2 linked regions of the Macaca fascicularis genome follow. Each later gene encodes a partner of the first gene's protein in a complex. Links are inferred from orthologs where the notes say so. Each region holds a gene or a part of one and is shown on either strand. Other genes may lie near its edges.

Region 1 (3,810 bases):
TTTTTGAGACAGAGTCTGGGTCTGTCACCCATGTGGTGGCGGCATCATAGTTCACTGCAGCCTCGGAACTCCTGGGTTCAAGCGATCTTTCCGCCTCAGCCTCCCAAATAGCAGGGACTAGAGGCGCATGCTAACACATCCAGCTAATTTTTTTTTTTGGCAGTGACAGAGTCTTGCCATGTTACCCAGGCTGATCTTAAACTCCTGGCCTCAAGGGATCCTCTCACCTCAGTCTCCCAAAGCGCTGGGATTACAGGCCTATTTAACTTTTGTTGTTTTTGTTGTTTTGTTGTTGTTGTTGAGACGGAGTCTGGCTTTGTTGCAAGGCTGGAATGCAGTGGCGTGATCTCGGCTCACTGTAACCTCACCTCCCAGGTTCAACCAATCTCCTGCCTCAGCCTCCCAAGTAGCTGGGACTACAGGCGGGTGCTACTATGCCCAGCTAATTTTTGTATTTTTAGTAGAGACAGGGTTCCACCATGTTGGCCAGGATGGTCTCGATCTCTTGACCTCCTGATCTGCCCATCGCAGACTCCCAAAGTGCTGGGATTACAGGCGTGAGCCACCGTGCCCAGCCTTAACTTTTTGTATCTCAATTTTCCCATATGTAAAACTAGGTTAAGGATATTACCAATTCCATGGGCTTGTATGAATATTAAATTAATACATATAGCATGCCATATAAGGGTTTATCATCATCATCATCATGGTCACCACTTCTGCTCTCTCCCTCTCTGTTATTGTCTCACAGTTTGTCTTTCTGTATTTATCTCTTTCTCTGTGTGCCTTAATTCCCTCTCTTCTTTCCCCACAGTGGCTGCAGGTTTTGTCCTCCGCCAGTGTGGCAGTGATGGCCAATGGGGACTTTGGAGAGACCACACACAATGTGAGAACCCAGAGAAGAATGAGGCCTTTCTGGTAAGAAGAGGTGAGGGCTTCAGGTTAGGAGTCCAGGGAGAGAAGGAAAGGCAGTAGATTCAGGCAGGGCCTGAAATCCCTTGGACTATTCAGAGCTCTGGGTTGTAAGTGAGAGAAACTCAACTCAGACTTGCTTCAAAGAGCGAGACAGAAAGATGTATTGGCTTATGTGATGGAAAACAATAAGATGGCTGGGTGCTGTGGCTCATGCCTGTAATCCCAGCACTTTGGGAGGCCAAGGAGGGTGGATCACTTGAGGTCAGGAGTTTGCGACCAGCCTAGCCAACATGGCAAAACCCCGTGTCTACTAAAAATACAAAAATTAGCCGGGCGTGGTTGTGTGCACCTGTAGTCCCAGCTACTCAGGGGGCTGAGACATGAGAATTGCTGGAACCCAGGAGGCAGAGGTTGCAGTGAGCCAAGATCGTGCCACTGTACTCCAACCTGGGTGACAGAGTGAGACTCCATCTCAAAAAAATAAATAACTAAATAAAAGAATGCTCTAGTTGGGCTGAGCTCAGTGGCTCATGCCTGTAATTCCAACACTTTGAGAAGATGATTGCTTGAGCGCAGGATTTTGAGACCAGCCTGGGTTACATGGTGAAACTCCATCTCTACAAAAAATACAAAACTTTGGCCAGGAGCAGTGGCTCATGCCTGTAATCCCAGCACTTTGGGAGGCCGAGGTGGGCGGATCACGAGATCAAGAGATTGAGACCATTCTGGCCAATATGGTGAAACCCCGTCTCTATTAAAAATACAAAAATTAGCTGGGCATGTTGGTGCGCACCTGTAGTCCCAGCTACTCTGGAGTCTGGGGCGGGAGGATCGCTTGAGCCCTGGAGGGCGAGGCTGCAAGGAACCATGATCCTGCCAGAGTACTCCAGGGCAACAAAGCAAGACTATATCTCAAAAAAAAAAAAAAAAAAAAATTATCTGGTTGGCTGGTCACATGCCTCGTGCCCTGGAGCTGAAGGGTGGAGTCGGCCCTTCTCAAAAAAGGGTAAGCTGTTCCCCAAGAGAACATAGGGTATTTGGGCAGAAACAAAGAGCAGAGGTCCTTCCAGTCTCTCTCTGGGCCTGGGGCTTCGAGCCAAGCCTTGTTCCCTTCCCCTTCTCGCCCCCCCAGGACCAAAGGCTCATCTTGGAGCGGCTGCAGGTCATGTACACCGTCGGCTACTCCCTGTCTCTCGCCACACTGCTGCTAGCCCTGCTCATCTTGAGCTTGTTCAGGTGGGACTTGAACCCTGAGTGGTGGCGGCAGAGATGTGAGCTCGGCTTCAGTTTGTCCAGTAAGATGGGGTGGTCTGGTTCCACCAGCTCCAACCATCCACTGGTGGTTCTATGGGGAGCAGTGGGGGTGGTTAAAGGAGCTCTCTTTGGTGGCTGATGCCTGTAATCCCAGCTCTTTGGGAGGCCAAGGCACGAGGATCGCTTGAGTCCAGGAGTTTGAAATCTGGCTGGGCAACATAGTGAAACCTTGTCTCTGCGAAAAATAAAAAATTAGCTAGGCATGCTGGTGGTGCACCTGTGGTCCCAGCTATAGTGGGGCGCTGAGACAGGAGGATTGCTTGAGCTCGGGAGGTTGAGGCTGCAGTGAGCCCTGATTGTGCCACTGCATTCTAGCCTGGGTGACAGAGTGAGACCCTGTTTAAAAAAAAAAAAAAAATAGAGCTCTGTGTGGCTGAGGGCAGCTCTCCAGGGGCCCCCAAACTGCCTTCCAAATTCCCTAGGCGACTACATTGCACTAGAAACTATATCCACATCAACCTGTTCACGTCTTTCACACTGCGAGCGGCGGCGATTCTCAGCCGGGACCGTCTACTGCCTCGACCTGGCCCCTACCTTGGGGACCAGGCCCTTGTGCTGTGGAACCAGGTGGGCATCCTCCTTCCATTCCTCCAAATGGGAATCTTGCTTCTCTGGTGGGACCAGGAAGTTCTCAGTGCATTTCCTATCTCCTACACTCTCACAGTTTATCTGAGCTGGGAGGGTCCCTCTCCAAATGTGTCTTGGGGTGGGGGATCAAGACACATTTGGAGAGGGAACCTCCCAACTCGGCCTCATTGAACTCTCCCAGCCTATCACTCCCATATTGGAATTTTCCATTCCTCTCCCTCATTATCTCACCCATCATTGAACTTTTTCACCAATGAGAGAATCCACCTGCTGGAGGTGAGGCATGGCAGGATACAAGAAAGTAACTGGGGACTGGGATGTGGTAAGTGCCAGTTTGTTACTAGGAGAAAGGGTGGGAGAGGCTAGAGGCTGGGAGTAGACGTGGTGAGAACTATCTAGTCAAAAGTTGGACCATACCAATTGTTAAGAAGCCATAGTGGACGGGCGCGGTGGCTCACGCCTGTAATCCCAGCACTTTGGGAGCCGAGGCAGGTGGATCACCTGAGGTCGGGAGTTCAAGACCAACCTGACCAACATGGAGAAACCCTGTCTCTACTAAAAATACAAAATTAGCCAAGGTGGTGGCACATGCCTGTAATCACAGCTACTTGGAAGGCTGAGGCAACAGAATCGCTTGAACCTGGGATGCAGAGGTTGCGGTGAGCCGAGATCGCGCCATTGCACTCCAGCCTGGGCAAAAAGAGCGAAACTCTGTCTCAAAAAAAAAAAAAAAAAAAAAAAAAAAAAAAAAAAAAGCCATAGCACACACCCAGGCACAGTGGCTCACGTCTGTAATCCCAGCACTTTGGGAGGCCGAGGCGGGCAGATCACGAGGTCCGGAGTTCAAGATCAGCCTGGTCAATATGGTGAAACCCCATCTCTACTAAAAATACAAAGATTAGCCGGGCGTGGTGGTGCACACCTGTAGTCTCAGCTACTCAGGAGGCTGAGGCAGACGAATCACTTGAACCTGGGAGCGGGTAGATTACAGTG
Region 2 (3,764 bases), on another chromosome or scaffold:
CAAGCCTGGCAACAGAGTGAGACTCTGTCTCAAAAAAAAAAAAAAAGGAAAGAAAATAGGATTGGCTGTGCACCGTGGCTCACGCCTGTAATCCCAGCACTTTGGGAGGCCCAGGTAGGTGGATTGTTTGAGCTCACAAGTTCATTCGAGACCAGCCTGGGCAACATGGCAAACAAAAAGTACAAAAATTAGCTGGGTGTGGTGTGGTAATGCCTGCCTGTAGTTTCAGCTACTCAGGAGGCTGAGACGGGAAGATGGCTTGAGCCTGGGAGGCAGAGGTTGCAGTGAGCCGAGATGGTGCCCCTGCACTCCAGTCTGGGAAATACAGCCAGACCCTATCTCACACACACACACACACACACACACACACACACACACACACACACACACACAAAAGTGAAGAGAAGATGAACTGTCCTTATCCTTCTCCCTGCTCTATGCCGTCTCTGGTCAGCGTGGTAGATTCTGAAAAGCTGTTCACTGGTGGAGGCAGCTGAAGACCACCATTGGGTGGGCTTAAGTGGAGAAAGGTACCCTCTGCTTTTGGGGTTGAGGTACTAAAAGATTCAAGTGTCTCTAGCCTGGAGTCTCCACAGCTTGCCCACTCTCTAATCTTATCTTCCCAGCTGGAAACACAACATCACCCAGAGGGAGGCTCGGGCACTCGAGCTGGCCAGTCAAGCTAATAGGAAGGAGGAGGAGGCAGTGGAGCCACAGAGGTGAGTCAGGGCGCAGAGGGAAGGGAGGCAGCCGAGCCTCCTGCCCTGCCCCCACCTCGTTGCTCCCTCTCCCTGACCCCAGAGCAGAGCAAGGACCCGCGATAATCATCCTCTTCCTCTCAAGAGTTCAAAGAGGGGTCTTCATTGAGCAAACTCCTGGAGGTCAGCCCAAGCTTAAGGAAGAAGGCTTGGAGGAACAGGGGAGGGGTGCTAGGAGGGGTTTCAGGGACAGGGTTTCTAAGATTGATGACTTGATACACAGCAGAGTCACTGAGTCAGGAGAAGGGCAGGAAAGAAGAGACCTCAGGTTCCGGCCTCACCACCTCCCCCTGCCAAACTTCGGGAAGGCTGTTTGTGAAAGAGTGGGGGATCTTCCCAGGCCCACTCCCCTGAAATCAGTTATCCCCTCTCTGAATGGCACAGGTCATTTCAAAAAGTGAATGTGCCCAAAGTACTCTCTGCATGCTGGAACACTTGCAGAGGTGGATGGGCGGAATATCTCACACCAGAATTCTGTTTGACTCTCCCTGTAGGAAGAGTCCATATTCCCCAGGCAGGCAGTGCTGGGTGGGGCTGGCAGAAAGCAGGCTCCAGATCTCAGAGCTGAGCCAACAGAGAGGCAGCTGTGTTGGCTCCCTCCCCCAATCCGTGGCTGCCCCTCAGTGGTGTCCCCAGTCCTGTGTTTACTCTCTTTGGGCGCGGCTCAGGCTAAAACAGTCAGCCAGAGGCTCTTACCTTGCAGCTCCCCACCCAAGAACCCCAGCGATGAAGATTTGCTGCGGGACTTGCTGATTCAAGAGCTGTTGGCCTGCTTGGTGGATCAGACAAACCTCTGCAGGTGCAGGTAGGGGAATGTGGTGTTGCACAGCAGTTCTAAATTGAGCTTGGGCATCAGACATGGATTCAGATCTTTGCCCCTCCACATGCTGGCTGATTACGTAGCCTTTCTGAACCTCAGTGTTTTCATTAAAATCAGAGGTATAGAATCATTTCATGGGATGTTGTGAGCTTTAAGTAAGACAATGCAAGTGGAAAAATACAAAGAAAAAAACAAAAGAAAAATAAAGACAATTCAAATGGAGACCTGAGGGCCACCTTTGAGGAGTAATGAGAGCTCTGCAAGGTTAGCAGCTCTGATTACTATTTGTTCTTCCTCACTCTTCCAGGTGAGGTGCTGCTCTCCCCTGCCTATCCCTACCCACTGAGCTGAGCCCATCCTGTGCCCTGCCTGTTCCTACCCACTGAGCTGAGCCCATCCTGTGCCCTGCCTGTCCCTACCAACCGAGCTGAGCCCATCCTGTGCCCTGCCTGTCCCTACTGACCGAGCTGAGCCCATCCTGTGCCCTGCCTGTCCCCAATCCTACCCACCGAGCTGAGCCCCATCCTGTTCTCAGCTTTCCCTCTGTACCCTTGGGCCATGGTACCTTCCTGGTGATGGGAAACTGCATAGTTGGAGGCATGTTTCCTTTCTCTGTGGCCATTGGTGGCTTCAATGGTCTCTTGAATCCACCTCATCAGCTAGAAAATTCTTCAGTCCATTCCTTATGTCTCAGAATCGAGGGACTAAATATTATGAAGAGACCTGTCCTCCTAAAGGGTGAGACAGGATCCTCATGATGCAGACAGCGGGGCACGGAAACCAGAACACTTCAGACACTGATACTGAGCAGCTAGGGAGGCATTGAGGGAGCAAATCTGGAACAGGAACCTCAGGAGGGGAAGAAGGGACAGGAGCGTGAGCAGATCCATGAAGAGGGTGTGAGAAAATCTCTGTAGGAAGGTGGGTAACGGTCTCTGTACTTTTGTGAATTATTTGGATTACTTATCATTAAAATGGTGATTTGATGGGGCAAAGGTGGGAGCACTGCTTGAGGCCAGGAGTTCAAGACTGCAGTAATCTATGATTACATCCGTAAATAGTCACCGCACTCCAGCTTGGGCACCACAGTGAGACTGTCTCTTAAAAAATAAGTAAAATGAGGCTGAGCACGGTGGCTCATGCCTGTAATCCCAGCACTTTGGGAGGCCGAGGTGGGCAGATCACGAGGTCGGGAGATCAAGACCATCCTGGCTAACCTGGTGAAACCCCGTCTCTACTAAAAATACAAAAAATTAGCCGGGCATGGAGGTGGGAGCCTGTAGTCCCAGCTACTCGGGAGGCTGAGGCAGGAGAATGGCATGAACCCAGGGGGCAGAGCTTGCAGTGAGCCGAGATTGCGCCACTGCACTCCAGCCTGGGGGACAGCGAGGCTCCGTCTCAAAAAAAATAAAAAAAAGGTAAATTGATAAAAATTAAGATACTTAAAAAGGTGATTTGAAGGTAGGAGGGGTTCAACAATGGCTGGGTCCCAGGATAAACGTGCTTGGCCGACTCCAAGTCCATAACCTTCCTCTCCTTTCCCCACTCTCCCCAGGTCTCGGTGACTCTGACCACACCCAGCTCAGGACTGGATTCTGCCCTTCACTTAGCTCCTGCCTCAGCCCCACTCCAGAATAGCCAAGAGAAGCCAAACCAATAAAGTTTATGCTGAGATAAGTCGAGTGCATTGTGAAAATTTATTCAAATGACTACTGAGCACTAACAGGGCATGTTTGTCTTTGTGTATCTCTGTGTGTGTGGGCACCACCCAGTGGAAAGGAAATATGGTCTGGGCATGGTGGTGTATGCCTGTAATCCCAGTACTCTGGGAGGCTGAGTCTGGAGGATTGCTTAACCCCAGAAGTTCCAGTCCATCCTGGGTAACAGAGTGAGACTCCATCTTTGTTTTGTTTTGTTTTGTTTCTTTTTTTTGAGACGGAGTTCTCACTCTGTCATCCAGGCTGGAGTGCAATGGTGCAATCTCGGCTCACTGCAACCTCTGCCTCCTGGGTTCAAGCGATTCTCCTGCCTCAGCCTCCTGAGTAGCTGGGATTATAGGCGCCCTCCACCACGCGTGGCTAATTTTTTTTTCTCTTTTTTTTGAGATGGAGTCTTGCTCTTGTTACCCAGGCTAGATGGAGTGCAATGGTGAGCTCTCTGCTCATTGCAACCTCCGCCTCCCAGGT

The links.
Region 2: the proteins of GIPR (region 1) and GIP are in contact, whole or in part, in a cryo-EM structure (PDB 7RA3), measured with the Homo sapiens proteins. The link is inferred for Macaca fascicularis from reciprocal best matches to the Homo sapiens genes GIPR and GIP. Residues at the interface, in NP_000155.1 of Homo sapiens: Gln30, Thr31, Ala32, Leu35, Tyr36, Trp39, Tyr68, Trp71, Leu88, Trp90, Arg101, Arg113, His115, Asn120, Gln130, Arg131, Leu134, Glu135, Leu137, Gln138, Tyr141, Tyr145, Arg183, Ile187, Arg190, Asp191, Pro197, Gly198, Pro199, Tyr200; in NP_004114.1 of Homo sapiens: Tyr52, Ala53, Glu54, Gly55, Thr56, Phe57, Ile58, Ser59, Asp60, Tyr61, Ser62, Ile63, Ala64, Met65, Asp66, Lys67, Ile68, His69, Gln70, Gln71, Phe73, Val74, Trp76, Leu77, Leu78, Lys81.

Annotation. Positions count from the first base shown.
Region 1 is NC_088393.1:53,738,364-53,742,173, forward strand, and holds part of GIPR (gastric inhibitory polypeptide receptor), read left to right. Parts: intron 1-814; coding exon 815-918; intron 919-2,047; coding exon 2,048-2,151; intron 2,152-2,651; coding exon 2,652-2,796; intron 2,797-3,810. UniProt on the Homo sapiens protein: This is a receptor for GIP. The activity of this receptor is mediated by G proteins which activate adenylyl cyclase.
Region 2 is NC_088390.1:57,758,603-57,762,366, forward strand, and holds the end of GIP (gastric inhibitory polypeptide), read left to right. Parts: intron 1-626; coding exon 627-719; intron 720-1,461; coding exon 1,462-1,563; intron 1,564-3,133; coding exon 3,134-3,143; 3' UTR 3,144-3,255; downstream 3,256-3,764. UniProt on the Homo sapiens protein: Potent stimulator of insulin secretion and relatively poor inhibitor of gastric acid secretion.